Notamacropus eugenii: one gene and its partners. The protein of the gene in region 2 binds, or shares a complex with, the protein of the main gene of each other region. Links are inferred from orthologs where the notes say so. Each region holds a gene or a part of one and is shown on either strand. Other genes may lie near its edges.

Region 1 (7,452 bases), on a different chromosome or scaffold from region 2:
GCCACTAAAAACTATACATAAGGACCTCTCTGGGCAACATGTTTTTTATTCTAAGTTATCGTGTTTAATATTTCCCAATTACATTTTAATTTGGTTCAGGCTACGCTTGGGAAGTGTTGTAGGCTGCATTGAGGCTACATTTTTGACACCTCTGCTCTAAAACAGCAGTTCTTCTCCTCTTTTTTGGGTCTTGGATCCTCATTCTGTCAGTTTGATGAAGTGTACGGCCCTTTAGAACATTTTTAAAAACACACACAAAAATATATAGCTTTATAAAGGAAACCAATTATGCTATAATGCAGTTATCAAAATATATTGAGTCCAGGTTAAGAATGCATCTGTCTAAAGACATGCATTCCTCTCTCCCTATGCAGCAGTTCTGGAGTCAGCCTTTTCTTCCCACCTCCAATCCAGTAGACATCCCGGCTAGGAAAATCTTACTTTGAGACATCTCTACTTTCTCTATACCAAATATCCATCTTCTGTTCCTAAAATCCAGTCTCATATCACTCTAACCACACAAGTTTTCTTTAGTCTTTCAATGCAACACACCTCTGCAAAAAACATACCCCTACACGTCTGCAGCATGGGGACCCTTGGAGGTGACCTTCCCTTTGCTGACTTGACCTTGTCTGTATGTTGTCATCTGCATGTTGTCTCCCCCATCAGACTTTGACATCCTTGTGCCATTCTTTGTACCCCCATTTCTTAGTACAGTGCCTGGTACATAGCAGACACCTAATAAATGCTTATCGACTGACTAGCTGATGTATTCCCACTCACTCATTTTACAGATGAGGAAACTAAAACACAGTGAAGTTAAGTTACTTACAGCAAAGGTCACATCATTCGAAGTTGTGCTGCCTGAATTGACTACAATCAGGTCATTTGACTACAAAATCAATACTCCTGCATGGCCACTTTGTATGGGAGGAGTAGGGAGAATGATACCATCTGTCTCCTCTTCCAGTAGCACAAAGTCTTAGATAGTAAAGAACCATGTGCTTTTTACCTCAGTTCAGTGAGATGGAGCCTTGTGGATACTCAAATATTAACCAATAAAAAATTCTACTGAGAGCTGAGGCAAGGGGGAGGGTGGGAGGGTTCTTAGCAGGGTGCATTAAAGTGCTTTCAAAGGTGATTAAAAATGGCCAGATGGGAGTACATAGGCACCAGATATTTTACTGGAGAACATTCCATACTGACAAAGTTTGGAGGAAAGAGTCGTTTTACTTTGGAGAAAAAAGAGGATTCAGTGAGAGTATGAGTTATTAAAACTCAACTTTTTCCATAATAGCTCTTTAAAATCCACTTTTTTCCTTTGACAAATATCGTTTGAAATTTCTTCTGCCCAGTCTTGATTACTAAGAAAAATGGATTCCCAGGGTGATCTTAGCCTTACCTTGCAGGTATTATGCATTTAAAAGACAATGCCCACCTCAACCACCACAGCAAAGCCAGGGCTTACGTTTCCTTGGAGCACTGCCTAAAACTCACCACCTACCCAGAAAAATGCTGGAACTAAGAGGCCTGGCTTGTTGGCTAGTGGAGATGGCTACAGCTGGGCCTCCTCAGCCTCTCCTTGCCCGGGCGCTAGGTCCTCAGAAGCTCCTTTCTCAACATTCATTCTGCAGCCCTCCCTCGAAGACAGGCAAGCACCAGGTTTTCAAGAAATGCTGCTAGTGCCTGCCATGGGTCACACGATATGGCCAGATTCTATTTGCCACCCCCTCCCCCCCAACCTTCCCCAGTCTCCAAGCAGACCATGGGCAGCAGCCTCCTACTGGGCACCATGTCCATCATGAAGTGCTCTTCCACTCACAGCTGTCCCCTCCCACTATCAGTCAACTCACAAAAAGACCAGGAAGTGAGCTGCAAGGAAGTATTCCTCAGTTCCTTCCACAAACTACTCTCCCCTTAAAATCTCAGAAATCGAGAAAAGAACACCCCCACCCATCTTATCAGATTTAGGTGGTGAGAAGTAAAAAGGGAAGAGTCAAAGCATGGGAGGAGGGGAGGAAAGCCTGGGCAGAAGAGCTTCAGATGGAGGGGGGTATTCATCACTCAATCCCAGACGCACAGAGCTGGAAGGGACTTCAGAGGCCCTATCATTCTAATAATTAAATAGTAATTGCTTCTCTTTTACCCAGGAAACCTGAGGGTCTTCCTCTCCCAGTTCAATTTTTTTTTAAAGGGGTAACTATTTAATTGAATGGGTGTATCTCACTCAAAGTGAGAACATGATAAGACCTTAACCTGAAAGGGCCAGGGTCTCACATTGCACTTATCAGGCCACTGGATGCTGATGGCTCAGGAGAAGAAAGCGAGGCCAGTGACCTTGCACAGCCCTCCCTCACTCAGATCAAAGTCAACTGCAAGTCATGTCATCGTCTTGATGTCACGGTCCTCTTCGAGAACAAAGGACAAACACAGCAACAATCATTCTACCAGTAAAGAAGAATCCTCTCTATAGCACATGGGTCATGCAGTATTGGCTTTGAGACGTTCAGAGATTGAATTGTTGGGGTGTTTTTCCTCACTCCAACCCCATCCCCCCACACAAGAGCCCTTCAGTTGAAGATGGCCATCCATGTTGCACAGTCCCTTCTTTCCCCCTCACTCCTGCATCTTTTACCTGCCTTTTACCACCCTAATCCCTCCATTCTTTCTGGAGAGTATCTTGTCAAAGTCCTTCCTAAAAGGAAGGGACCCTAAACAGAACATAAGATCCAGATGTGATCTGGTGAGAGAAGAAAACTGTGGGTTGAGTACCTCCTTAGTTCTGGGCACTGTCTCCCTAAAGTGGACCAGTATGGCATCAGCTACTGTGGTCAATGTATATGACACCATTAACTCATGCTGAGCTTTGTCGATGTAATTAGCTATATATGTCATTTACAAACTTGATAAGTTTTTAATATGTCTTTATCCAATTCACTGACTAGAAAAGTTCAAATAGCACAGGACCAAGGAGGCAGTGTGGCACAGTGCAAAGAGGGCTGCATTTGAAGTGAAAAGGCCTGGGTTCAGCTCCATCTGTGCAACCCTAAACAAGCCCCTTATCCTCTCTGGGCACCGGTTTCCTCCTCTATAAAGTGAGGGGGCTGATTAAATGACTCTGAGGTTGAACTAGTACTAAATCTACTCTACTATCTACCCAACAAACTTTTATTCATCAGCATTTACAACATGCAGAGCATTCTGTTAGGCAATGAAAAAAAATCACCTACATAAAGGTTTAGAAAGGCTTTCAGCTCAATCTTGGGAGATAGATCTGTATTAGTCTTCCCACTTTATAGATGAGGGAGCCGATTTTGAGGAAGGTTAAGTGATTTGCTCATGGTCACACTGCCAAAAGTCAGACTGGTTCAGAGATTTGAATCTTCTCAAAATCCAGGACCTTTTCGCCTTCGAGCGGAGGTGAAGAAAGGAAAGAGGGGAGGCAAGGGCAGGGGCACAAGGCTGTGGGGGTAAGGGGAGGCAGGAAGAGGGGCAGGGAAAAGAGGAGCGAGGGGAGAGACAGAAGGTGATAGGGGATGCGGAAGAGGCAAGTTGAAAAAGGGAGCAAAGGATAGGGCAGGGGAGAGACAGAGATCGAGGGAAGGGCAAGGGGAACAGGGACCAAAGAGTAATGCGGGGACGGGGTGAAAAGTGGAGGCGGCAAGGGGGGAAGGGCAAAGGGAGGGGCGAGGGATGATAGTGGAGCGGGGGAAGGGAAATGGGGAACAAAGGGAGGGGCAGGAGAGTAATAGGGGAGCAAGGGAGGGGCAGGAGGTAATAGAGAGGGAGGAGGGAAAGGGAAGCAAAGGGAGGAGCAAAGAGTAATAGGGGAACAAGGGGAGGGGCAGGAGGTAATAGAGAGGGAGGAGGGAAAGGTGAGCAAAGGGAGGGGCAGAAGAATAATAGGGGAACAAGGGGAGGGGCAGGAGGTAATAGAGAGGGAGGAGGGAAAGGGGAGCAAAGGGAGGGGCAGGAGTAACAGAGGAGCAGAAGGGGGGGTGATAAAGGAGAGGGGGAGGGGCAGCAGGTGGCACGCGAGCAGGGGGAAAGGGCAGCTGAAGAGGAGTGCCGGACGGAAAGGCAGCAAGTGTGGGACCCGGGAAAGTGGAAAGGGGTGAGTGGTGGGGCAAGGGGAGCACGCAGCCCCGGGGCAGCGGCTCGCTCCGGCAGACTTCGCTAAACTCCGGCGCCCAGGAAGAGACTCCCGGCCGGCCGGCAGGTGCCCCGGCCGCCCTCTGGCCCTCGGTCCGTCCCCAGCTGCCCCCCGGCGCCGCCGCCCCCTCGCCCTCCCGCCCTCGCTCTGGGGGCCGCTGCCGCTCCGGGGCTCGGGGGCCGCGGCTCCCGGGACTCACCCAGACTTCGGGGCGGGGCGCAGGAGCAGCCCATCGGGCTCTCAGGCGGGAGGCAGCAGCGGCGGCAGGAGCGGCCGCCGCTCGCTGATGACGCGGCGGGAGCGGCCCCAGGGGCCCTGGCGCGGGCGGATGACGCCACAGTCGTGCGGGGAGCGCGACGTCCGGAGCGGCGCCGAGGCGGAGGGCTCTGAGGCGGCGGCGACGGCGGCCGAAGCGTGGCCGGACGGGGCCTCATGGCGTCCGTGGCGCTGAGCGAGGCGGAAAAGGTGTACATCGTGCACGGTGTGCAGGTAACGAGCGAGGAGGCGAGGCGAGGCCCGGACCCCTCCTGCCTCGGCCCCGGCGCGCTCCCCCTCAGCCTTCCCAGACGCCCCCTACGCGCGTGCGCCCTGCCCTCCCTTGGTCGTTCGGAGGCTCTGCGCGCGCACGTGGGGGCCGGTGTTTGGGGAAAAGGCTTAGAGATGGTCTACTGTAGAGCTGGAGTAAGGGATCTCAGACTACCCTTTCTTACAGATGGGGAAACTGAGGCCCCAGGAGGAGAGTAAGTGCCTGGCCCCAAGCCCCGTAGAGTTAATTAAGCTCGGAGGACTGTGGTGAGCCTCCAGTGAGATGTTTGTCAAGCTCATTGTAAACGTCTGGACGTGTTAGTGTTCCCCAGAGTCGGTCAGGCAGCAGAGAACTGGAACCCAGACCGTCCACCTCTGGGTCAGATAAGCTGCTTTTGTCTGTTAAGCGCTTCTTCTGGCCCTGGCCTCCCCTTCCGAGGTGGCCTCGGCGCTTGGCGGCATCCTGATGTTACATTGTAGCTGCTCAGGCATCCTCCTGTTACATTGTAGCTGGGCTCGAAGTCGGGGTCCGGAGGCTGGCACTTTCTCTGACTCCCCGGAACTGTGGTTTTTATCCCAGACGAAGAGACCTACAGAGCACCTTTCTTTAGCTCCAAACGTTGCCCGGGTTAGCTTCTCCCATCAGTACCATAAATTTCCCAGATCCAGCTCGGGTTGAAGGAAACTCAGAAGTTCCTGTTAGAAATAGGGTAGGAATGTTGGACCCAGAAAGGGAAAGTATTCCTGCCTACCTGAGTATTACCTCCCCGAATAGCAGATGATGTACTCTTTGTCAGAGTTCTTTGAAAAATAACAATTTTATAGGTGGGTGAGGTGATGTTGTGAAAAAGATTTCACAGTTGGCACAATTGCATTGGAAGCTAAGACAGAGCTGTCAGTTACCCCTAGGATTTGGCAATTTACGTACCAGAAGGTGTTGGGATGGTTTATTTGGCTTGAAAGTTGGCAATCAACCTCTGAAAGCGACATCCCTTCCCCCACCCCCCCCAAAAACCAGAAAACCACAACAAAATGTCAGCCTTTCTCTGCTGTCATCCTTACTGTCCCAAGCCACTGCTACATTCTATTGCCTCCTTTCCTCTCTATTGCCCTTCTCCTCCCCTCCATATAATCACACTTAAAGCTAGATGCCTGCCCAACTCATTATGTTTTATTGGCTAGGATCATTAGTCCTCTCTGTTGTAGATTAATGCAGATTTGTTTTTCAATTGTTCCTCTCTGCCTTCTCCATTATCTCTGTTTTATAGCTGAGGAAACTGAAGTACACAGTAGCAATTTACCCTGGTTGAATTTTCAGCCTTAAGAGAAATAGAGAGAGCTCGATTCCATCTTTTTAATCTCCAGTTTATCCAACTGGACCATATGCATTCTCCCTGGGAAGCTGGGGAAGTGGAAAGGAGAGCTATTAATGAAGCTTCACTAAACAAATCACCTGGGTCTTCCATGGCAGTTCTTTGCATGTGCCACATTTAGTCACTTGACTTCCTCCACAAAAGGATGCTTTTTCACTATACCAGGTTTGGTTGGATGTGTCTGAAATTATATCTATTTATTTTGCCTCTTATTTTCTTTTTTTCACACCTTGCTCATCCCCTCTCACTGGGAGTTTAGTCACCTTGGGTCAGATGTCCATTCTGCATTTCGGTATTTTGTCTCTAGTAGTGTCAACAAGGCATAGGGTGTTTTTTTTAAAAACAAACCCAACAGTTTGTTAATCCCCCATGGTTTATCCTTTGCCCAATCTGTCTAGTCTTGACAAGAACATGTCCCCTAATTCTGTGGTGGCTATTTTTAATGACCTTGGCTGTACAACAACATTTCCACAAACTATTGCATGGAATCCTACTGTTCTATGTGATAGGGACAGAAGTTCCATGAGAGTTATAATTATACTTTTCTAAAACATTAAATATGAAATTATGTCTTTACAAAAAATTAAATACAGCATCTTTCAGTATGAAAATAGGGTTAATTTTCTCTCCTGCTCCATAATTTCATAATTTCCCACTCTATTTAAAAGTTTAAAAATTTCTTCTTAAGGGAAGTTTATTTTGAGGTTTGTTGGTGGGGGAGGCAGGGAGGCAAATGGAGCTACACAGCTAGTGTCTGAGGCTGAATTTGAACCCAGGTCCTTCCGACTCCAGGGCTCGTCCTCTATCCACTGCTCCACCTAGCTGCTCTTGGAAAATGTTCTTTAAAGTTTTATTAATACTTTTACTGTCACTTTGTTATATAACATTGCCTCATCCCTCTCTTGTAACTACCCCTCCCCCAAATAATCCACTTATACAAAATCAAACAATACAGCATTTGTATCTGATGATGTAGGCAACATATGCTCCGCTACTCCATTGTCTCTTCCTAATGGGCAGAGAAGTGGGTTCCAATGTCTGTCTTCTGGTCACAGCATTTACTCTTACCTTTGTTTTTGTGTCAGAGTGGTCATTGTGTACATGTTAGAATCACAGAATTTGGAAAGAACCTCAGTGGCCGTCCAGGCCAACTGAAATCTGATCAGTTATTCTTCTGCTTTTGCTTCGTTCAACCCTCCTCAGGTCACTTTGGCAAACCTTTGTTAAGTGCCTACTGTGTGCTAAGTGCTGGGGATGCCAAGACAAAAACAAAACAGTTCCTGACACCAAGTAGCTTAAATTCTGCTAGGGGGAAACAACATGGACATGGATAAGTAAAGAAAAAGTAATGTTTTTGGTGAGGGAGGAGCAGAGAGCACCAAAAAATAGGGAAGGTTCCAT
Region 2 (7,713 bases):
TCTGCAGATAGGTCTGGAAAAACAGTCACTAGAACAGAGGAGAAGTTTTAGGGATTGTGACCCTTTGTAACAGAGAGGGATGCTGACTATGAATTATAGCGATGCACTGATTCTCTAAGATGAGAAAAAGAAAGAGCAACATCCAGGGAGAACTTCATGAGGACTTCATGGAGGGAGAAAAGGACTTTCAGGGCCAAGAGTGGGGAGGTACCCTTTTGCCACAAGTGTTCTCTGTCTATACTTTGCTTCACTGCCATTATTTAAGCCCATTGCCTTTAAATTTGTCAGCTCTCCCCATAGGGGTAACGTTTATAAACAAGGAGTGAGTATCCCTAGTTTCTTTAGGAGTGGGGAAAGTAGAATGTTTAGTACCAACTATTCTTTACCTTTCAGTAAATCCCTTTTTCTAAAAACTAATGGTGGCAACTGGCTAATTATTATCACACAGGTGGGCACACAGAAACTATAGTACTAGAAACCCCCTAGCATTAGGACTACCCTGAAAACCCTCAGGGGAGAAGTGGTCAGCCCAGCTCTGAGGACTTCATGTAAGGAAAAACTTTCTAACAGTTAGAACAATTTAACAGTGGAACATGGTATTAAGAGGTAGTAAGGTTTTCCTCGTGGGAAGTCTTCAAGGAAGGGCTGAGTGGCAACATGGGTATATTGTCAGAGGGATCCCTGTCTTTTTGGCCACGTTTGGGTTGGACTTAACGTCCCCCTATTCCCATCCTACACCTTCCCAGATCTCTTCAACCTTTGAGATTATGAGATTCTGATTATATGATTTTAAAATCACTACCAGTCCTATCATAAGGATAACAAGATATAGAAAAATAAAATCATATTTTAGTTAGAAGGATCCTAAAATGGTCATCCAGTCCAACATTCTGTTTTACTTAAGGTTAACTGGCTTGCTCAGTCACGTATTAGTGACTGAGGCAGTGCGACAGACTCTATATATGCATCCATATCCTCTGACTTCAAATGCAAAGTTCTTTCCCCAGTACCACACTGTCTCTTAGAAGAGATTACGAAAGCACTTTGAAAACTAAAGAGACATAAAATGTTTCATTTATTTTAAAATATATTTTATTTATATCATTAAATATTTCCCAATAACATGTAAAAATTTTTAACATACTTTAAAAAAAATTTTGAGTTCCAAATTCTCTCCTTCTCTCTCCTCCTCCCCCACTGCTTGAGAAGGCAAGAAATATGATATTGCGTATATGTGTGAAGTTGTGAAGACATATTTCCATATTAGTCATGTTGCAAAAGAATAAATGCACACACAAAACAAGAAAAATAAATTAAGAAAAATTTGCTTCAAACTGCCAGTAGAGTCTGTCAGCTGTATGAATTTGATTCTCTCTTTTAAAGAATTATTTTGTTTAGTGATCTTTTGAACCTTCTTTTCCATTTGGCTAATTCTGCTTTTTAAAGCCTCCTTCTCCTCATTGGCTTTTTGGACCTCTTTTTTCAATTGAGTTATCCTCTTTTTAAGGGTGTTATTTTCCTCAGCAATTTTTTTTGGTTCTCCTTTAGCAGGCTGCTGACATGCTTTTCAAGCTCTTGTATGGCCTGAGCCCATTTCATATTCATTTTGGAGGTACTGGAGGCAGAGGCCTTGACTTCCTCTGACAGTATGCCTTGTTCTTCCTCATCTGAAAGGATGGAAGGAGACACCTGTTCTCCAAGAAAGTAACCTTCTATGGTCTTATTTTTTCCCCTTTTTTGGGCATTTTCCCAGCCAGTTACTTGACTTCTGAATCCTTTGTCAAGAGGAGGGAGTCTGTCAGCTCTCTCTGAAAGTGGACAACATTTTTCACGATGGGTCTTTTGGAGTTGTCTTGTATCATTTTCTTGATCAGAGTACTAAGTCTTTCACAGTTAACCATTCTTACAATTGAGAAAGGAATCAGAATTTTCATATTAATGGACATGATAATGTGGAATGAATATACTAATAATTTAATTTTCTCAAGAGTTGCCTCTCCAGCTAGTGAATCAGACTCATAATGCAGTCAAACTTTGACAATGCTCACAGTTACCAACATCCTTGTGCCTACACACCTGAAATGAGGCTAATCAAAAATTATAGAGCCTGTTCTGGTTACAGAATTCTGGTCCTGTGATCCACCAAGTAATGACCTCCTAAAGACTCAAGTAATATTGCTCCCGCAGAACTCCAGAATTGTTTATTGTTTGTAATCCATCTTCCCCCCTCCCTTCCCATTGTGAATTATGTATATAATCTCTGTCTTCACTTAAGCAAGGTGGAATTCTGATTAGGGGAATTCCCAATTTGCAAATCTGTTCCTTATAGTGAAACTAATTAATTAAATAGCTACCTGATTACTGGCACTTTGTCTCTGGCCTGCTATTTCATCCTTCTCAGGTTAGAGACTGACTCAGTAAAGTCCTGTTAACACAATATTTCTGTCACTGTATATACTGTTCTCCTGGTTCTGTTCACTTCACTTTGCATCAGTTCATAGAAGTCTTCCCAGATTTTCCTGAAACCATCCTGCTTATCATACAATAATATTCCATCACAATCATGTACCACAATTTGTTCAGCCATTCCTCAATTGATGGGTATCCTATAGTGTGGCAGAAACTAGACATAGACCATAGACCAATGCCTGACACCATACACAAGGATAAAGTTCAAATAGGTATATGATCTAGATATAAAGATTGATACTATAAACAAATTAGTGGAACAAGGAATACTGTATCAGATTTATGGAGAAGGGAAAAATTTTTGACTAAACAAGAGATACAAAGCATTATGAAGTGCAAAATAGATAATTTTGATTACATTAAACTGAAAAGTTTTTGTACAACCAAACCCAAGGCAATCAAGATTAGGAGGGAAACAGAAAACTGGGAAAGACCTTTTGCAACTAGTGTCTGTGATAAAGGCCTCATTTCTAAATTACATAAAGAATTGAGCCAAATGTACAAGAATAAAAGTCATTCCCCAATTGATGAATGGTCAAAGGATATGAACAGGCAGTTTTCAGAGGAAGAAATTAAAACTATCTATACTCATATGAAAAAACACTCTAAATCACTATTGATTAGAGAAATGCAAATCAAAACAACTCTGAGGTACCACATCACACCTATCAGATTGGTTAACATGACAAAACAGGAAGATGATAAATGTTGGAGAAGATGTGGGAGAGTTGAAACACTAATTCATTGTTGGTGGAGCTGTGAGCTGATCCAACCATTCTGGAGAGCAATTTGGAGCTATGCTCAAAGGGCTACAAAAATGTGCATACTCTTTGACCCAGCAATATCACTTCTATGACTCTATCCCAATGAGATCATAGAAATGGGAAAGGGTCCCACATGTACACAAATATTTATAGGAGCTCTCTTTGTGGGTGCCAAAAACTGGAAATCAAGGGGATGTCCATCAATTGGGGAATGGCTGAATAAATTGTGGTATATGAATGTAATGGAATACTCTTGTGCTGTAAGAAATGATGAACAGGAAGACTTCAGAGAGACCGGGCAAGACTTATATGAACTGATGCAGAGTGAAAGGAGCAGAACCAGGAGAACTTTGTGCACAGCAACAACCACAGTGTGGGAGGAATCTTTCTGGTAGATTCAGTACTTCACTGCAATGCAAGGACTTAAATAATTCCCAATGGTCTCTTAAGGCAAAATGCCTTCCACATCCAGGGAAAGAACTGTGGGATTCGATTGCAGAATGTACCAGATCATTTTCTTTTGTATTATGTTTTGGTTTGTTTTATGATTTCTCCTGTTCATTTTAATTCTTCTATGCAACATGACTATGGTGAAAATATATTTAATAGGAATGGATGTGTAGAACCTATATAAAACTGTATGCTGTCTCAGGGAGGGAGTGAGAAGGTAGAGAAGGAAGAGGGGTAAGGAGGGGAAAAATAGAAGATACATGGAAGTGATTGTAGAACACTGAAAACAAATAAAAGAAAAAAAATTGATAGGTATCCCTCTCTAATTTTCAAATCTTTGCTATCACAAGAAGATGGACTATAAATATTTTTGAACAAATAAGTTCTTTCCCCTTTACTTTAATCTCTTTTTCCTACATATCTAGTATTGCTGGGCCAAAGGGTTTAAAACAGTTCTATAACCTTTTGGGCAGAAGGGTTGGACTAATTCGCAACTCTACTTCTCCACCGTTTGTCATTTTCCCTTTTTGTCATATTAGCCAGTCTGAAAGGTGTGAGCTGGTACCTCAGCGTTGTTTTAATTTGAATTTTTCTATTCAATAGTGATTCAGTCTAGAGCATTTTTTCATGTGGCTATTGATAGTTTTTATTTTTTCTGAAAACTTTCTATTCATATCCTTTGACCATTTATCAATTGGGAAATGAGAATCATAAAATGTTAAGGAATTAATGTTATTCTATTATTTAAAATTTTCCTTCCCCAAGCAATAATTTTAAGCCTACGACGTCTAAGTCCTATCCCCATTAAAGTAGTGTATTGGAGCCAATGTTAACGGCGGGGAAGGGGTCGCCAGTAGTAAATATGGGAACTTCATTTGCTCTTCCCCTTCATTTAAGTACTTGAAACTACTCATAGTCCTTCATTCCAATAAAAAAGATGGCCGTCCAGCAGCGGGTCCCCATTGGTAGCTATCTAAGTAAGTGCCGCCCCTTTTTCGTCCCGCCCCCCACTTTGCTCCGCCCCATTTCATTTTCTGGCTGCCAGTAGTTCTAGAACCGGAAACAGCCTCTCTAGGGTCGGGTGCGCTTGCGCGGCCCTCTGGGCTTCAAGATGGCGATGGAGATTCGGCTTCCTGTGGCTCGCCAGCGGCTACCTGAGAGTTTGGACCGGGACACGCAGAAGCACTTGGTGGTGCCCGGGGACACGATCACTACGGACACCGGCTTCATGCGGTGCGCGGCAGGGGCTCCGGTCAGGCTCCCATAGAGCCTTCCTTAACGTGCTTCTCGGGCTTCCTCTTTCCCTTCCCTAAGACCCGCGTGTTCCCGCCCGCACGAGTCTCTGTCCCCGCGTGTCCTTGCGTATCCCTTTCTTCCGTGGCTTTTCCCTGAGTGCCCTTGCAGGTGCCCACTGTCCTCACACCTGTTCCTGCACGGCCTTGGGTCCTCCCGTCCCTCTTCCCAAGTGTCCGTGCGTCCAGCTGCGTGCCAGGAGCGGCGCTCCACGATGGGGATAAGAAGGTTCCGCAGCCCCTGCCCCCCGGTAGCGCCGAGGGGGAGAGCAGGCGGGGCCCGCGGCCTTGGGTGACGGCTGGGTCTTGTTGCAGGGGCCATGGGACCTACATGGGAGATGAGAAGCTGATAGCCTCGGTGGCCGGCTCCGTGGAGAGGGTGAACAAGCTGATCTGCGTGAAGGCCTTGAAAACGAGGTGTGTCTGCTCCGCCCCGGGGGTGGCCGCGGCGGGGCTTTGGGGGGCCCAGCCTAGGTTGTAAAGCCTACTCTGAAGGTGGGGGAAATGGGGCTAAATCCTTTATTTATTTATTTAAACATCGTTAAGTGCAAGTGATACCGGCAGAAACCTCTGGAGAACGGAGTGGGGATGGACCAGAACTTCGGTTCTTGGTGTAATTCTGGATATTCTTTAACGGCAAACGAGCACTTCTCTTGTCTAGCCATAATTTTCCTTGTTAGGTTACGGAGAGGCTTGACATTTGTGTTAGTTCTAAAGCGGGAGTAAATTCCTCAAGGATTAAACCACACTCATATATCCTTGGTGGTATCGGAAAGTGAAATACTCTCATAGCCTTCAGTGACTTGTAGTCTAGCTGGGCTGAAATGCATAAAAAGCGAAGTGACACATAAGGGTTAAATGAAGCAGTACAAGAGAGGTGGTAAAGAAGTACAGCAACTAATCAGAGTAACAACAAACTTGGATCACTGCATTGAACAGTCATGACTCCAGAAAACTGGTGACAAAGCATGCCCTACATCTCTTGTCAAGAAAGTGATGGGCTAGAAGCACAGGATGAGACCTACATTTTCAAATCTGGCCAGTGCATTGAATTGTTTTGCTTAACTATACTAATTTGTTAAAATGGAGGCTTTCTATTGGTGTTGAGAGTTAGTGGGGATTGATAGAGATGTAGAAAAAAGGAAAAGATCATTGATAGGACATTTTTAAAAAGTGCACAGAAAATAAGTTCCAAATGGGACACCTAGAGCAGTTTTGTTACCAGTATCTTAAATTTAGTATATGCTTGAAAAAACCCAAACTGTTACAGAAGTTTACACTTTCATATACAATCCTTGTTTTTATTGCTTCTCTTCTGAAATATTTGTGTTTGTGGATGATTATTAAATTCATAGAAAAGAAAATTGAAAAATATAAATTTTCTAATGATTGACTTGTCTTTTTCAGGTATAATGGGGAAGTAGGAGACATTGTGGTGGGGAGAATCACAGAGGTAAAGTTTGAATCAAGAAGTTTGTTTTTAAAAAAATTCTGAATTTCACAAGCAAACAGGGAATGTTTCTATGTATATAAAGTAGAACAGAAGACAATTATGTGTGAAACCATAACTTTCTTGTATCCTTTAAAAAAGTATATGAGTCATCATGTTACTTTTAAAGTTGTTTTGCTTATGGAAATAAGTGTAGTCAACACATTTTGCCAAGCCCTAAAATGTACAAGTGCATCTTTTGTCCATCAACCTTCTTCTAGAATTGTGAGTAGTCGTTGATTTGGTTAAAGTTCTTAAAAGACTTTTGAGTTGAATTTATTTTTTAAGCTCCTTTCACTCATCTTCAGTTCATATAAGTCTTTCTAGCTTTCTCTGAAACTGTCACTTTCAACGACTCTTACGGTACAATCAGTCACCACTATTTTCCTGTACTGTAAGCTGTTTGGTGATTCCCCAAATGACTGAATACTCTTTTTGTTTCCAGTTCTTTGCTGCAACAAAGAGAACAGCTATAATTATTTTCATACACATGGATTTTTTTCCTCTTTATTTGATCTCTTTGGTGTGTAGGCTTAGAAGTGTCATTGCTTGATCAAATGGTACAAACACACAGCTTAGTGACTTGGGGCATAGATTCAAATTACTTTTCAGGATGGCTGAACCAATTCGTAGAGATTGTGTGCTTTAAAAAAAGTCAAACCTGTGACACAATTTTTGGTAGAGGACTGTCCTGTATTTTGTAATGCATGATTAGTTAAATTGTAATTTGTGTTGTTTTTGTTGCAGAAATTTAGGCTGTAATATTTGGGGTCACTGACTGTCCAGAGTCTGGATTCATGTAATTTGAGTCAGTAACTCTAGAATTTCTTACTTTGTAGGTTCAACAGAAGCGGTGGAAGGTGGAGACCAATTCCAGGCTGGATTCAGTCTTGCTTCTGTCATCCATGAACCTTCCAGGAGGAGAGCTGGTGAGCGTTTGCAGCTAAATTCCATTTTCCTGCTGTCCAGCCTTAGCTACTAAAGCTTGGGATTTCTACACAGACAGTGGACATCACTGGCATGTTCCATTATTGCTCTAAGAAAATGTAGAGGAAATTTACTGGTAGGATTAAAACATCATTCTTTTAAGTGATGGAGTGCTAAATTTTTTCAACATAGGCAATGTTTATTCTTACTTTAATGTAACATGAAATATTATTTGAAAGGTCCGTATACAACAAGAACTAAGACCCCTGGTTCTGTTCATTTTCCTGCTCCAACTCTGTACTGCTTTACACAGACAGCATGT
Region 3 (7,038 bases), on a different chromosome or scaffold from region 2:
GCGGAGGGAAGGGAGGGAGAAAAAAATTTGGAACTCAAGATCTTACAAAAGTGAATGCTGAAAATTATCTTTACATGGAAAAAATAGAAATTTTACAAAATAAAAGCTTTCTTTCCTTCATCTTTACAAACACAGGAGGAAGGCACACCTCTTCTCTAGGAAGTCACAGCTGGGCAGTGTTTACAGAAGAGGATTACAGAGCACCTTTCGGTTCCTTCCCGTTTCACTGCGGCCTATCCTGTTCCCAGCTCTGCCTGCCTGGTCTTTGCATCAGTTCCTGGAAGTCTTCCCAGGCTTCTGAACTCTTCCTATTTCTCACCATGCTGGATCCATGCTCCAGTCTGTTTTCACCATCCCCTGATCACCAGCAGGTGATCTCTTCTCTGCCCCCGGCTCTAGGCTACCACACAAGCAGCCCCGGACAACATCCCTGTAACATCAGCTGCTCCCTCAGTCTGCTTCTGGCGATGGGGGAGGCGTCCCACCCCCTTCCCTGCTCACCAGGCAGCCCTATTTTGGGCTTCAGAATCACCTCCAGGGTGGCTTTGTTGAAGATCTCCTTACTGACTTTGACCTCTGCCGGACCATAGACTCCAACGAGGACCGAGGTGTCACCTGCAGAGAGGGGTGCAGAGGAGGAAGAGGCATTGGCTCCGGGAGCACCCCCACCTCCCTCTATATGAGACGCCCTTGATGACAGCTAAGGCTTCCGGTGACACCACCTGAAGTCAAGACTCATCTTCCTGAGTTCAACCTGGCCTCAGACACTTACCCTGGGCAAGGCTGCCTCAGTTTCCTCATCTGTAAAATGAGGACATGGGGAAGGAAGTGGCCAACCACCCCAGTATCTCTTCCAGGAAAAACCCAAATGGGGGCGAGAAGAGAGTTGGGAAGGACAAGATAAGAGCTACGGAGGGCTGACGTGCACTTCCCAAGTTTCCCGTTGGCTCCTGACAACAACCCCGTTACATAAATGTTATTATGACCCCCACCTGACAGATAAAGAAACTAAGACCGGAAGGGGTTCGTTCCACCGGCCAGTCCGTGTCAGAGGCGGGATGAGAACTCGGGCCTTTTCCACTGAAGCCCGCGGCTCCCCACTCCCTGCGGGTTTCCTTACCTCCAGCCAGCAGGGGAGGCCTCGGGGGTGGGGACGGAGGCTGGAGACCCGCCCCGCCAGGCCTCTCCGAGCGAAGCCCGAGGCCACAACACGAGGCTGCGCGGGGCGGGGGGCGGGGCCTCACTGGTCCGGGAGCTTGTCCCGTGCACCCCGAAGTGGGCAGGCCCCGGACAAGGAGGACAACGGGAGGCCCCCAAAGGGCGCATTTTACCAACAGCCCTGATCCCGCCCCGGCCCGTTGGAGATCGCTATTTATACGGGCACCTACTGACCCACGTGCGGGGAGTAAATGGGGTACCTGCCCCTCTCTTGTGCTGAAAGTGCATTCGCCTCCAGAAGGAGGAAAAGTGCTTATAATTTACTGAGGAATGGTGGCCCCCCCCCATCCCTCACGGTGGGCCCGAGTATTTAGCCGGAAACGGGTATTTACCCGGAAGCAAAGGTTCGGAAGGATGGCACCTTACCCTGCAGGAAAGAGGCGGAGCCATCGGGTCGGGAGAGCAGGTTCTGTTCGCAGGCGAAATGCCGGAGGCTGCAGCCGGAACCCCGCGAACTTGGATCCGCTTCGGGTCCGGCGCTAGGGGCGAACTCCGTCTCCATCTCAATCCACGTGAAGGCCGGCCAGTACAAAACTACTTCCGGGATGGCCAGGGCGCATGCCTGAAGGTCTTGGGGAGCATGCGCAAGCAGTTTGTTTGTTTGAGCACGTGGTTTCGGCTTATTTCAACCTCCCTCCCCACCTCCTCTGGACTGGCGGAAGAGGGCGCGTGAGCCATAATCGCGACGCGCTTGCGCGAAGTTTGTTTGTAAAGGCTGGATTCCACGTTTTCCCTCAGCCCCGCCCCCGACCTAGGCCAGAGGGAACTATTAGGTCGCTGGAGAGAGGAGGCGGAATCAAAATGGCCCGCGGTCGTATCCCAGCCCCGGGGAGGTGAAGGGGCGGGGCGCGCACCAGGACCCGGGCTCAGAGGGCTGGCCGCACTTCCGCCTGAAGGCGCCGCCGCCTCCGAGGCCTCTGAGGCGAGGGACAGAGCTAAGGGGGAGTGGCGGACCGGGGCTGCCTCCCTCGCGGGCCGTCCCGGGTGGCTTGGAGGCGGGGCCGGCTCACGTGGGGCCGTGGGCGTGGACAGCTTTTTAGGCGATGGACTTGCCGGCCCCGGAGAGAACCTGGGTGGCGGTCGCGGAGCGAGACGGTTAACGGCTTCAGTCAAGATGGCGGCGGCGGCGGCACGAGCCTGGGCCCTGCGAGGGGGGCTGGCCTTGGCCCGGCGGGGCCCTCGCGGATTGGCGGGATCCGTGAGTGCTCCCGCCCCCGGACCCCGAGGGGAGCGCCAGGAAAGAGAAAGAGACCCCTCCCCTCGGGAGCCCCTGAGAGAGGGATGGGGAGACCCCCCCAGGAGAGGGGGGAGCAGGGAGACCCGAAAGGCTGGGGAGGATTCCCCAACTCCCTGCAGTCCTGCCCCCCACCTGGGTGACCTTCGGCGGGACACCTCTTGTCTCTGGGCCCAGTGTAGAATGAAGGGGCTCCTGCGGACTTTCTGTGGTGCGGGGGAGGGGCAGGGGGCTGGCCCCGGGGAGCCCTGGCCCTCCTGGGAAGCAGGACTGGGGCAGAGGGCCCCAGGACTGCCGGAGGACCAGGGCAGGGTCAGCCTGGCAGCGAGAAGGTCTGCTCCCAGCTCAGTGGGGATGCCTCCACTTGTTTGTGCGGGAGCTGGGCAGGGACCAGGTGCCTGCTGCTCATTGGCCGGGCCAGGGGGCGGGAGGGAGGCCGGGCCCCCTGGGCGGGGGAAGGTCACCTGGTCTCGTTTCCCAACCGTCTGTCCCCAGGCGCTGTTCCTGTTCTGGTCTTTCTGGTTCCTTGGTGGCGGGGCTCTTTCTGGGCTGGAAAGGGAGGGAGGGCTTGGTGGCCCCCGACCAGCATCATGGGGGCGGGGACTGAGTCCACTGCTACCTCCTCCCCTTGCTGGCCGGGTCATAGTCTTTCTGAGCCTCCTGGGCTGGTAAACCCCTGGCAGAGTTGGGGAGAGGGGCTTCTTTGGGGTCTTTAGGCTGTGTCTATAGTGATCAGAGGCTGGGTAAGTCAGAGGGGGGTGGGAGAATGGGGCTGACAGTGTCTGTTGGGTTTGGGTCAGCCTCCTGAAGTTGGCCCAGTCCTTCCAGGGGACCAAAGCCACAAGATTCAGCCCCTGACCCAAGGTAGTCTCAGTACAAAGATAGTCCATCTGTGAGACTGAGTCATTTATGGACTTTTTTCCTTAGGTCCCTTTATCTTTGAGACCTTTGAGATCAACTCCTTCTTGCATTTTTAAGATCCGCAGATCGATAAAGTGAATTTTAAAAACATGAGATAGTCCTTTGTAAGCCTAAAAGCAGTATAGGAATCTTAACTGGAGTTTCCTCATCCCCTCAGCTCATGGGACAGGCATCACCGAGAAGTGGGGGGACCAGGAGCTTCCATGGGGTGGGGGCTGGGCTAGGCATGGGCCCTTACTGTGCTTCAGTCTCTACCCCGATTCCCAGTGATTGTGTGTGTGTGAACTAGAGGTTGGCTAGGGAGGTGTGAGTGTGCACACTCAAGTATCTATGTCCAGGTAAGGGAGGCTAGTCATACTCACTGGGACTGGGGAGGAAAGAGACCTCTTTAAGAGACCTTCCCATGATGCTCACACACACACACACACACACACACACACACACACACGAATAGAATGTGTCCCTGTGGGCAGTGGCGGTAACTGTCAGGGCAGGATGAGGGGAGCTGATGGAGTGGTGACATTCTGTCTGTGCCCATCCAGCCCCAGGGTCTCAGTCAGCACCTAGAGCCTCTGGCTGCTCTCAGGCCACCCACAATCTGCAGTCTTCCATTGTCCTGGCCAGTTGTCTCTGGTAACTCTTTCTCTTGGCACAGGCACCTTCTTTCTCATCCTTTGAATACCCTCTGTTACCACAAAAACATGAAGCCTTTGACCTTCAGTTGGTTGTGAACAAGTCACTTCATTCTGAGCCTCAGTTTCCTCATTTATAAAATAGATTGTTGTAAAGATGAGATCAGACGATATGTGTCAGGAGTTTTACAAACTTTAAAGCCATACACAGAGATGCCATTTGTCCCTTTGAATCCAGTGCAAGCTCTGCCCTGGCATTGGAAAGGCCTGAGGATATACTGAGGTGATGGATGGAAATGTACTCTGAAGGCAGAGACCAGACTAGGTGGGCCATGTGCTGGTGCCAGTGTTGCTGATACCAGAACCCAACAACAAAACCAACCAGTGGGGACGAGTTTGCTGTGTTTGAGGGCCTGAAGAAGGTCCCTGGCTATGCATTGGGAGGCAGCTTTAGGGAAGACCATTGTAAAGTGCCTGGCAGGGGCAAGGCTGGGCAGGAGCCAGTTGACCAGAGTTGTGTCTCTGAGGGAGTGTCTGTCTGGGCCAGACTGGGCCTACCCTCACCACCTTCCATTTGGGAAATTATCAAGCATTTCCCATGTGCTGAGCACTGCAGTTACACATGTAATAAAAGAATGTTTCTGCCTAAGGGCATCGAGGCATGGGGGTGTGAAAGAGAAGGGCAGAGGAGGGCAGGCTGGAAGGCAGGCTAGAAGACCGGCTGGGCCACTGGTGGTGATAATAGGATCTTCCTCCCAGGGTTGTTGTTTAGAGCAAGAAGGAAGGAAATAAGAATTCATGAAGCGTCTGCTGTATGCTAAATCCCATTTGGTCTTCCCTGTACCAACCCTGGTAGGGAAGTAATATAATTATCCCCTCTTTACAGTTGAGGAAACTGAGGCAGACAACGTAAGTGACTTAAAGTTATACAGCTAGCAAACAGATCAGGCTGGATTTGAACTCAGGGCTTCCTGAATCTGGGCTCAGCATTCTACCCACTGCATCCCTAAACTCTTAAAAACCTCCTGGGACTCCACCTGTTTAACTTTATAAATAAGGAAACAGAGGTCCAAGGAAGTTGTAAGGATTGACCACAGTCCCCTGGGGAGAAGTGAGGCAGCTGGTGGTACGGTGGTTGGTGCCCTGGGCCTGGTAATTCAGCCTCACACACAAGCTTCATGATCCCAGACATGTTACTTTGCTTCTGCCTGCCTCGTTTCCTCACCTGTTGAATGGGGATTATAGCCCCTCCCCTCTGGGGTTATTGGGAGGGTCACTAGCTGTTAATTGGCAGAACCAGGATTAAAGCCTGCTTCTCTCTAAATCTAGTATTCCCGCCAGGACACACCCATGCCCTGGCACCCATCTGCCTTTTGTGGAAAACTGATCTATCAGTTCTGAAGGCCTCTAGGCCTTGTCTCTACTTGTCCTGGGTGGCTGGAGGCCAAACTCCCAAATAAGCTTCCTGAGGGCAGGCTTCTTCCCCATAGAGCCACACCTGTGTGACCAGTTCTGCTGGGCGCACAAAAGGGCATTGCCAGGGATGGCTGCCAGCTCCCTAACTAACTGGGCAGGAAACTCCAGTGGGTATTGCCTCTTTTGGGAGGCAAGATGTGAGCAGGGCTGCAGCCTGGGAGGGACCTCAGAGGGTGACTGGGCCAGTGTGTCAGTGGAGAGGAGGCCCCTTCAGCAGCATGCCTGACAGAGCTCACTCCTTGCAGAAGCACAAGAGGTTTTTGCTGATATTTGAGGGAGGTGCTTGTGGGGGCCCCACCCTTCTGACACATTTGTCCTCCCTTCTTCTCAGGCCGCCCATTGGCAGCAGGAAGATTTCTCATCCCTGGATGAAAAACCCCAGTTCCCTGGAGCCTCTGCTGAGTTTGTGGATAAGCTAGACTTCATAAAACCCAATGTCATTTCTGGCATCCCCGTTTACCGGGTTATGGATCGCCAAGGACAGATCATCAATGCCAGCGAGGACCCTCAGGTGATGACCTTGCAGGGGTCTCATGGCCCCCTAAGCCTTTCCCCCAAGCCCTCTGCCACCAACCACACCCTTCCGCTTGCTCTGTCCTCAGCTGCCTCCGGAGGTGGTCCTGAAGCTGTACAAAAGTATGACCCTTCTCAACACCATGGACCGAATCCTTTATGAGTCCCAGAGGCAGGTAAGTGGGGTCCAGCCCTCTGGGAAGGGGAACCACAGTTAGACACACTCCCCCCAAGGCCATTCCTGGGGTCAAAAGAGTCATGGGAGCCCTTGGAGCTTGGGGAAGAGACCCTGGCAGGGCAGACTGAAGCCTGTAGCCTCAAGATGCAGGTACTCAGAAAGCTGACTTCTGGGAGCCTGCCTTAGAGGGTAGGGGAAGAGGAGAGAATGTCTTAAAGGGGAAAAAAGGACAGGAGTCAGTCTGAGACCCAAGTGGGACAAGAAACCCCGGGCTGCCTGAGGTCCTCTTCTGGAGGCTGACAATGGGTGGCTAAGACAGTAGCCCCCATTATGGAAAGGTGACTGCTCAGTGCTGGGGCTATGGGGGATTCCAGAGAAAATGTCCGACCCTCTGGATCTCTGGGGCCCAGCACAGTGTCTGGCTCAGAGTCAGAGCTTAAAGGAGCAGTGACTGGTGGGCTGGTGCAGCCAGAGAGGGAAAAATGAAAGCTGTGTGTAGAAGGATGGGGAGGTTCCCCACTTTCTCTGACAATGTTCTATTTGGGCCCTCCTTTTATTCTTTTCCCCTTCCTCCATGCAGGGCCGGATCTCCTTTTACATGACCAACTATGGGGAGGAGGGCACTCACGTGGGCAGTGCAGCCGCCCTGGATGACACAGACTTGGTGTTTGGGCAGTATCGGGAGGCAGGTATGTCCTCTACCCACATGAGCTGGGGCCTAAAGCTGGAGCCAGGGTAGTTGGGCAGAAAGAAGGAAGACCATATGAGCCTATCATGGTCCTTCCCAGTGCTCCAGGTGCTGCCTATCCAGGACCTGTAGGGCAGAGGCAGCCAGAGAAAGTGGGTGCAGACTGCAGCAGGAGGGA
Region 4 (6,796 bases), about 230 Mb from region 2:
GACCAAGTGGGTGGGCAAAGCTGCTCAGGGAGGTGCACAGCTGCTTTTTAGTGAAGTCTGAGCAGCAGCACCAGCCTTAGGCAGTGTTTCCTTTAAATGCATTACAGCTTTGTCTCAGCAGTGCCTCAGCAACCTCAAAGGTGGCACTCTCTAGGGTCACATCCAACAACTGTGACCACCTTGGGGGACAAAAACATGCCTTGAGCGAAACTAAATTTGGCCCCGGGGGGGGGGGGGAGGGTCCCAAGACAACTTGTAGCAGGGTGCTGGGAGGCCACGGATTTCCAGTGGACCCAAAGCTGCACGGACCTGGCGCAGGCGGACCAGCCTCAAGCCCTGCGATGGCAGAGAACCGCCTAACAGGCTTCCGGCCCCGCCCTGCAGTCAGAGCACGAGGCTTGGCACACAGCAGCCACCCCTTACCTGGCCCTCAGAGGGGAAACGAGGAGAGGCGCGCGGGGCAAACTGTGAACGAGAGAAGGCGTCACAAAGAAGCCCGCGTGCAAAACACCAGAGAATCTTTTATTCGATACAAACGAACAACTGGCTCGGTGGCCCCGAGGTGCTCGGTCCCACCAGGCGGGGGGGGGGGGGGGGGGGGGGGGCAGTGATGCGGTCCGTGGTCCAGGCAGGGCTCCGGGCGTGGGCAGCGGGTGCCGATGAGGGGGGATTCCACCTGTCCTCCCGCTCAGGCCACAGGGTCAGCAGCCTCGGGGGTCACGCTGTCCTCGTTGGGGGCGGGGATCCCGGGGCTGTGCGGGGCAGGAGGATGGGGGGTCCGCTCCTGCGGCGGGGGCTCCAGGGCAGCGGGCGCCGATGAGGGGCGGTCCGTACAGTCCTCCGCTCAGGCCACGGGGTCGGCAGCCTCGGGGGTCTCTCCGTCGGCGGCCCCGGCCTCGGGGGCCTCGAGGCTCTCGGGGGCGGCGGCCCCGGGCCCCGCGCCCCCCCGCCGGCGCGCCGCCCTCAGCAGGCACTGCTGCAGCACCGGGTAGAGGCGCTGGCAGCCCTCGAGGCCCAGGCGCACGGCGCCCGCCCAGCTCTCGGCCGCGCAGGCCTCGCCGCTGCCCAGCAGGCCGGCCACCTGGTTGAGCACGGGCATGAGCGCCACCGTGAGGCCGGCGGCCGCGCGCTCCTCCTCGCGCCGCGTGGGGTCCAGCTGCCAGGCGGCGTCGGCGCCCGCGCCGCGGCTCAGCGCGCAGCCCACCACCAGGTCGTACATCTCGACGCCCGCGTCGGCCAGCGCCAGGCCCGCGGCCGTGAGCGCGGCGGCCAGCGCCGAGCCGCCGTCCTCCAGCAGCAGCGCCGACACCTCGAGCTGCGCGCGCGGGTAGCGGCCCAGGCGCACGGCCGGCTCGAGCGCCTCCTGCAGGGCCAGCGCCAGCTCGCGCTCCTCCGCCCCGCCCCCGCCGGCCCCCGCCGCGCCCGCCGGCCGCCGGCGCCGCGGGCCCGAGAAGGGCGCCCGCCGGAAGTCGCAGACCAGGCGGCCGCCCGCGCCGCCCGCCGCCCCCGCGCGCTCGCCCTCCACCGGCCGCGGCCCGGACACGGCGCACAGCACCTTGGTGCGGCCGGCCTCCAGGTAGGCCGAGCCCTTGGCCTGGCTCAGCAGCCCGGCGCGCGCGTACACCGGCCGCAGGCGCGAGGGGTCCCGGGGCCCCGCCGCCCCGTCCCCGTCGTCGTCGTCGTCGTCGGGCCCGGAGCGCACCACGTACAGCGAGGGCGGCTGCGACTCCTCGGGCCCGCGGATGCGCCGGTGGTCTCCGGGCATGACTGCGGCTCGCGGGCGCCTCCGCGTCCCACGCCGCCGGCCGCTTCCGCTCGCGGCCGGCGTGGAGCCCTCGCAGCTTCCGCCCGCCTGAGGAGAGCGCTGCTGCCCCCTGCTGTCCGGGGGAGTGCGAGCGTCCTCGGGCTCCGAGTGCGCAGGCGCCCTGGGCCCGAGAAGGCCACGCACGTGCACCTCTGAGGGCACCACCCACAGGCTCCCATGCACCTCCGAGAGCGGCAACCCGTGCGCCTACGAGCATGCATGCACCTCCGGGGGCACCCGCGGACCTGCATGCAGCCTGAAGGGCTGCAGCCAGGGCACCTGCGGGCCAGCATCCACCTCCGAGGGCACCCGCGGACCTGCATGCTTGAAGGGCTGCAGCCAGGGCACCTGCGGGCCAGCATCCACCTCCGGGGGCACCGGCGGACCTGCATGCTTGAAGGGCTGCAGCCAGGGCACCTGCGGGCCAGCATCCACCTCCGAGGGCACCCGCGGACCTGCATGCTTGAAGGGCTGCAGCCAGGGCACCTGCGGGCCAGCATCCACCTCCGAGGGCACCCGCGGACGTGCATGCTTGAAGGGCTGCAGCCAGGGCACCTGCGGGCCAGCATCCACCTCCGGGGGCACCCGCGGACCTGCATGCTTGAAGGGCTGCAGCCAGGGCACCTGCGGGCCAGCATCCACCTCCGAGGGCACCCGCGGACATGCATGCACCTCTAAGGGCTGCAGCCAGGGCACCTGCGGGCCAGCATCCACCTCCGAGGGCACCCGCGGACATGCATGCACCTCTAAGGGCTGCAGCCAGGGCACCTGCGGGCCAGCATCCACCTCCGAGGGCGCCCGCGGACATGCATGCAGCCTGAAGGGCTGCAGCCAGGGCATCTGCAGGCTTGTACGCACCTCAGAGGGCAGCACCCCCACAGCCCATTAGTTACCATTAAGATTCTTGGTCAGGCTCTTCTCTACTTCCAGTCCCACCAGGACTTCACTACTTTGTATGTGTCCTGTTCTGCCCTGGTGCCAGGACAGACCGAGCCAGAGAGGTCCCCATGTACCTTGGACAGAAGCATAATATTCTTGGCTGTGCAGAACACCCTGCCATTCTACTGGCAACCAGGTCGTCCTCCCTTTTTCAGATTTAGTCCCTAGGTCCTTTTGTTCCACTCCCAACCCTCAAATTTGGGGCTTCAAGGTGGAGGCTGATGTCCTCTCAGACACCCTGACTCCCACTTTCAGTAATCTCAATCTCCATAACCTACATGCAACGTCTCTGAAATGCTGTGCGAACTTTAGAGTCTAGATATGGACCATTCTGAGTTTTATCTTCACCCTACCGCCATTCCACCCTGACTGACTTGCAGCTTGTGGAGAGGGAATCAGAGATTAGGAAAGGGTTCTTGTAGATGGTCTTTGATTTTGAGTTTTGAAGGGAACTCAGGATTCAAACAGGCAAGTGAGGAAGGAGTGTGTCGGAGGTATTGGTGGTTCTTAGTCCTTCATTCTGGAAGATTTTTGTAAGATTGGAGATGGGAGTGTTGTGGGCACTGGGAAGTAAGGTCCACTTGGCAGGGCCCACAAAGTATGTGAAAAGTTGGAAAGTTTAGTAAAGGGCATTTGATGCCCCAGGAATTTATGCTGAATCTTAGAACATCTAATAGGATCACTGGGATTTATTGAACAGGGGAAGGCTATATAGTCAGACCTGTGCTTTAGGCAGTTTTGTGAAGGAGGGATGGGGTGGAGAGATGAAGTAAAGAAGGAGTCCACGCAAGCAGGGAAAAGAGCGTAACCCAGGTGGTGGTCCCTGGGCAATGGGGCTGGAGGCAGAGGTGGCAGGGGAGTCTCTAAATCTGGGCTCAAGACACTAGCTGTGTGATCCTAGGCGACACATTATTAACCTCTTTCCTCCCAGAGTTGTGAGAATTAAATCAGATATTTGTGGTTTGCAAACTTTAAAATGCTAACTAAATACTATCAGAATCTATGAGACTGGGAAAGCAGAACTCTTGACTATGCTATGGTAGCTGCTTCCCCCTATTTTAGAGGGGTATGTGTGGTGAAAAGGCAAGGATGACAGGTTTGAACATTAGACTGCAAGGAGGATGCTGCCTGCCCAGGCAGACCTCTGTTTGGAACAAAGGCCCATGCTCTCTTGGAGGGTTTCGGGTTTGCTGTGTCCCTCACACTGCATGCTTGCACCCCATCTCCACCCCCCACAATTTGATCTCTCCTTGGTCCATGGAATCCTTGGTTTCCCTCAAGAGTCTGTCTAAGCATGGGCCACAGAAGGTGGCCTTGCTGTCCCAGGTTGGCTCGTCTGATCTTTTGTGTGGAAGGTCCTTAGGCCTAGCGCTGTGCAGCTTTTCTCTGTATTCCCAGCACTCAGCAGGCTCTGTGGGACATACCAGTGGCCGTGCTTAATAAAAAGCTTGATATTTGATAGGGAATGAATGCATCACAGTGATTTGTGTGTTGGGTGCTTAATGCATTCATTCATTCATTCATCCACTTCCTATCCCCTCAACCACTGCCTCGTAGATTTTCAGATCTCCTCAAGCCTCAGAGGCACTGGGTTCAAATCTCACCTGGACAGTGTCATTTCATTTCAAGAGCTTCAACAGCATTTTCTCCCTAAAGTGAGGATCCTGCTGCAGTTTCCTCACAAGAAGACATGCTGCAAGGATGGTGATTGGCAGACTTTAAAAGCATTACATACACGAGCTCTAGTACCTCTGCAATCTTGAAAGCACACAAAGGACAAGAGGCCTGCACAGGACTCTGCACATCTGCCTGGGAGGAGCCAGCTCATCGAGTGCCTGCTGATGCCCACATATCCAAACCCGTCTGTGTCTTCCTGTCTTTTACTTTAGGCTGAGGAAGCTGCTGCTGCTGAAGTCAGGCCATTTGATGATTCTTTCTTGTTTACTGTCTTTCCTCATCTGTTGGCTCCATCAGTACAATCTACATTTTCCCTGTCTTCCTAAAAAAACCTAGACTTGATCAAAGGGGAGAAAGTGTTACCTAAAGTGAAGGGAGGAAAATGGGAACAATTTCTACATTGATTGATGAAAAAAACAGAAATGAAAACATTGAAAGACATTAGAACTCAGGGCAATGTAGTGACTGGTCAAGGCTTCAGAGGACTGAGGATGAAGCAGGGGTCCCACCTTTCCATTTTAGCAAACAGGTAGATGATGGAATCCATTGCAGGTCGAGGCACACGTTGCATTGATACGTTTTGCTACAAGGAAGGGCCTCTGTTTGAGGGGAAGTAGGGGATAGGGAGTTGGTTAGTGAGAGTAAGGAAAAAATAAAATAAAGTTTGGAAGTGGAAAACAATCAGGCAGTTTTGTTACTATGTTAAATTTAATATATACTTTAAAAAACTAAGTTTCAGTTTCACAAGCAAGCCTCTTTTCTGTTCTTTGTACATTGAAATGTTTGTTGACGTTTAAGTTCATAATTGGAAAGCCCGAGAACAGTCTTGGCCTTTAAAGACTCCAGGCTGGCCAGGCCTTCGAGCTAGTTCTGGGGAAGGATTCTGGACTTTCCTGGGAAGACTTGAGCTGATATAGAGCAAAGAAGCAGAAGCAGAAGACCAGCATGCACCATGCCACTACCAGTGCATACACAAAGCCATTACCAAACAGCCCTGGTATCTGCATCCAATACCGTGACCAGCGCTGGTCCCAGGTGGCTGACATTAAACTCACTTAAAGATGATCCTGAGTTGGGGGTATTTTGTGTGGGTCACTTAAAGATAAAACTAAAGTGGAAACATCTCTTTCCACCTAGACCCCTCCTGCTTACTTTGGAGGATGCCCCGGAGGATTCTCTCCTCTTCACCTCGTATTCCTTTCTCATCATCGTCTAGTTTAGTGGGTTCTACCTCCTTCAAACGTCTCTTGCATGATCCCCCACTTCCCTCCCCCCAGATTCACCATCCTAGTCCACCTGGACTAGAAGCTTCCATTTGCCTCCCTGCACCTTGTCTCTGGTCTCTCCCTCTCCCATCTTTCATACAGTGGACAAAGTCATTCCCACGGCTCTCCTCCAGCCCCTAGGATAATATACTCATTCTTCAGCACGGGCTAGAAACGCCACCTCTGCCTGTAACCCACCCCTTTCTTACAGTGGCCATCTTCAGGACTCAGCCTGGCTGCCACCTGTCCTCAGATCCCTTTTCTTGTACATGCTGTGTTCCCTGGAAGGCTCTCTGGTCTGTGAAGGCAGTCACAGCCTGGTTTGAAGCTGGTGCTGCTAGTTTGCTGAACACCACAGCCCCGGCCCCTCCTCATGGCCAGGCTCTTCTGAGTAAGGGGCTTCTTAATTCTTCTGGAAGCCCAGCTACTGCTTCTCGCCAGGATTAACCTGAGCCAAGTATCCAAGTGGTTGTCTTCTTCTTGTGAACAGAGGCCATGGAGGGCACAGCCTGGGGCTATTCAGTACTAGAGACATGCATCTTGGCAGGTCAACAGAGCTGTTTTTCAGTTGGGAAGCACCCCGTGCCACTGACACTCAGGCCCTACTCACCAGAGTGGGGCTTGATCTCCTAAGAGAACACAACACACCTTCAATTCCAGACAGGAACTGGACCCAGGTGCAGGTCAGAGAGCTGCATCAGCTCAAAGTTTATCATCTTAACGAGCTGCTCTGTGGAGCTGAGGGCTGTTAGCGACTTGCCCAGGATCATCTGGCACATGCCAGAGGAGGGACCAGAGGCTATCCTTCTTGCCTCCAAGGCTTGCTCTCCCATTCACTATGCATGCCAGGGCCTGGTGCCATGATGACTGCCCCCTCCTCCATTCCCTCTGCTACTCTTGCTGGGATCCCTAGGGTTTGGTTCAAGTACCTTCCCTTCCCAGGAGCCCAGAGACAGAAGCAGGCCCTCGGAGCAGTAGCTTAGGGAAGAGGCATTAGACAGGGTCATTTTTTAGAAGTCCCACCTACCCCAAGCTCCCCATCTCCTTCTTCTCCAGAAAGTTCTCTGGGACAACCAAATGGCTCTGGGGTTCCAGACCGTTTCCTGGAGGG

What was found.
Region 1: EXOSC2 (region 2) and EXOSC7 share a complex: the UniProt entries of both Homo sapiens proteins name them as parts of the RNA exosome core complex. The link is inferred for Notamacropus eugenii from reciprocal best matches to the Homo sapiens genes EXOSC2 and EXOSC7.
Region 3: EXOSC2 (region 2) and EXOSC5 share a complex: the UniProt entries of both Homo sapiens proteins name them as parts of the RNA exosome core complex. The link is inferred for Notamacropus eugenii from reciprocal best matches to the Homo sapiens genes EXOSC2 and EXOSC5.
Region 4: EXOSC2 (region 2) and EXOSC6 share a complex: the UniProt entries of both Homo sapiens proteins name them as parts of the RNA exosome core complex. The link is inferred for Notamacropus eugenii from reciprocal best matches to the Homo sapiens genes EXOSC2 and EXOSC6.

Annotation. Positions count from the first base shown.
Region 1 is NC_092874.1:43,356,061-43,363,512, reverse strand, and holds the start of EXOSC7 (exosome complex component RRP42), read left to right. Parts: upstream 1-4,446; 5' UTR 4,447-4,585; coding exon 4,586-4,642; intron 4,643-7,452. UniProt on the Homo sapiens protein: Non-catalytic component of the RNA exosome complex which has 3'->5' exoribonuclease activity and participates in a multitude of cellular RNA processing and degradation events.
Region 2 is NC_092872.1:482,371,917-482,379,629, forward strand, and holds the start of EXOSC2 (exosome complex component RRP4), read left to right. Parts: upstream 1-4,704; 5' UTR 4,705-4,794; coding exon 4,795-4,916; intron 4,917-5,290; coding exon 5,291-5,392; intron 5,393-6,382; coding exon 6,383-6,428; intron 6,429-7,303; coding exon 7,304-7,393; intron 7,394-7,713. UniProt on the Homo sapiens protein: Non-catalytic component of the RNA exosome complex which has 3'->5' exoribonuclease activity and participates in a multitude of cellular RNA processing and degradation events.
Region 3 is NC_092876.1:29,841,234-29,848,271, reverse strand, and holds the start of EXOSC5 (exosome complex component RRP46), read right to left. Parts: upstream 3,003-7,038; 5' UTR 2,917-3,002; intron 2,417-2,916; coding exon of another isoform or gene 2,208-2,416; intron 2,206-2,207; coding exon of another isoform or gene 1,996-2,205; intron 1,994-1,995; coding exon of another isoform or gene 1,777-1,993; 5' UTR 1,721-1,776; coding exon 1,585-1,720; intron 616-1,584; coding exon 502-615; intron 1-501. UniProt on the Homo sapiens protein: Non-catalytic component of the RNA exosome complex which has 3'->5' exoribonuclease activity and participates in a multitude of cellular RNA processing and degradation events.
Region 4 is NC_092872.1:713,908,019-713,914,814, forward strand, and holds EXOSC6 (exosome complex component MTR3), read right to left. Parts: upstream 1,849-6,796; 5' UTR 1,766-1,848; coding exon 845-1,765; 3' UTR 502-844; downstream 1-501. UniProt on the Homo sapiens protein: Non-catalytic component of the RNA exosome complex which has 3'->5' exoribonuclease activity and participates in a multitude of cellular RNA processing and degradation events.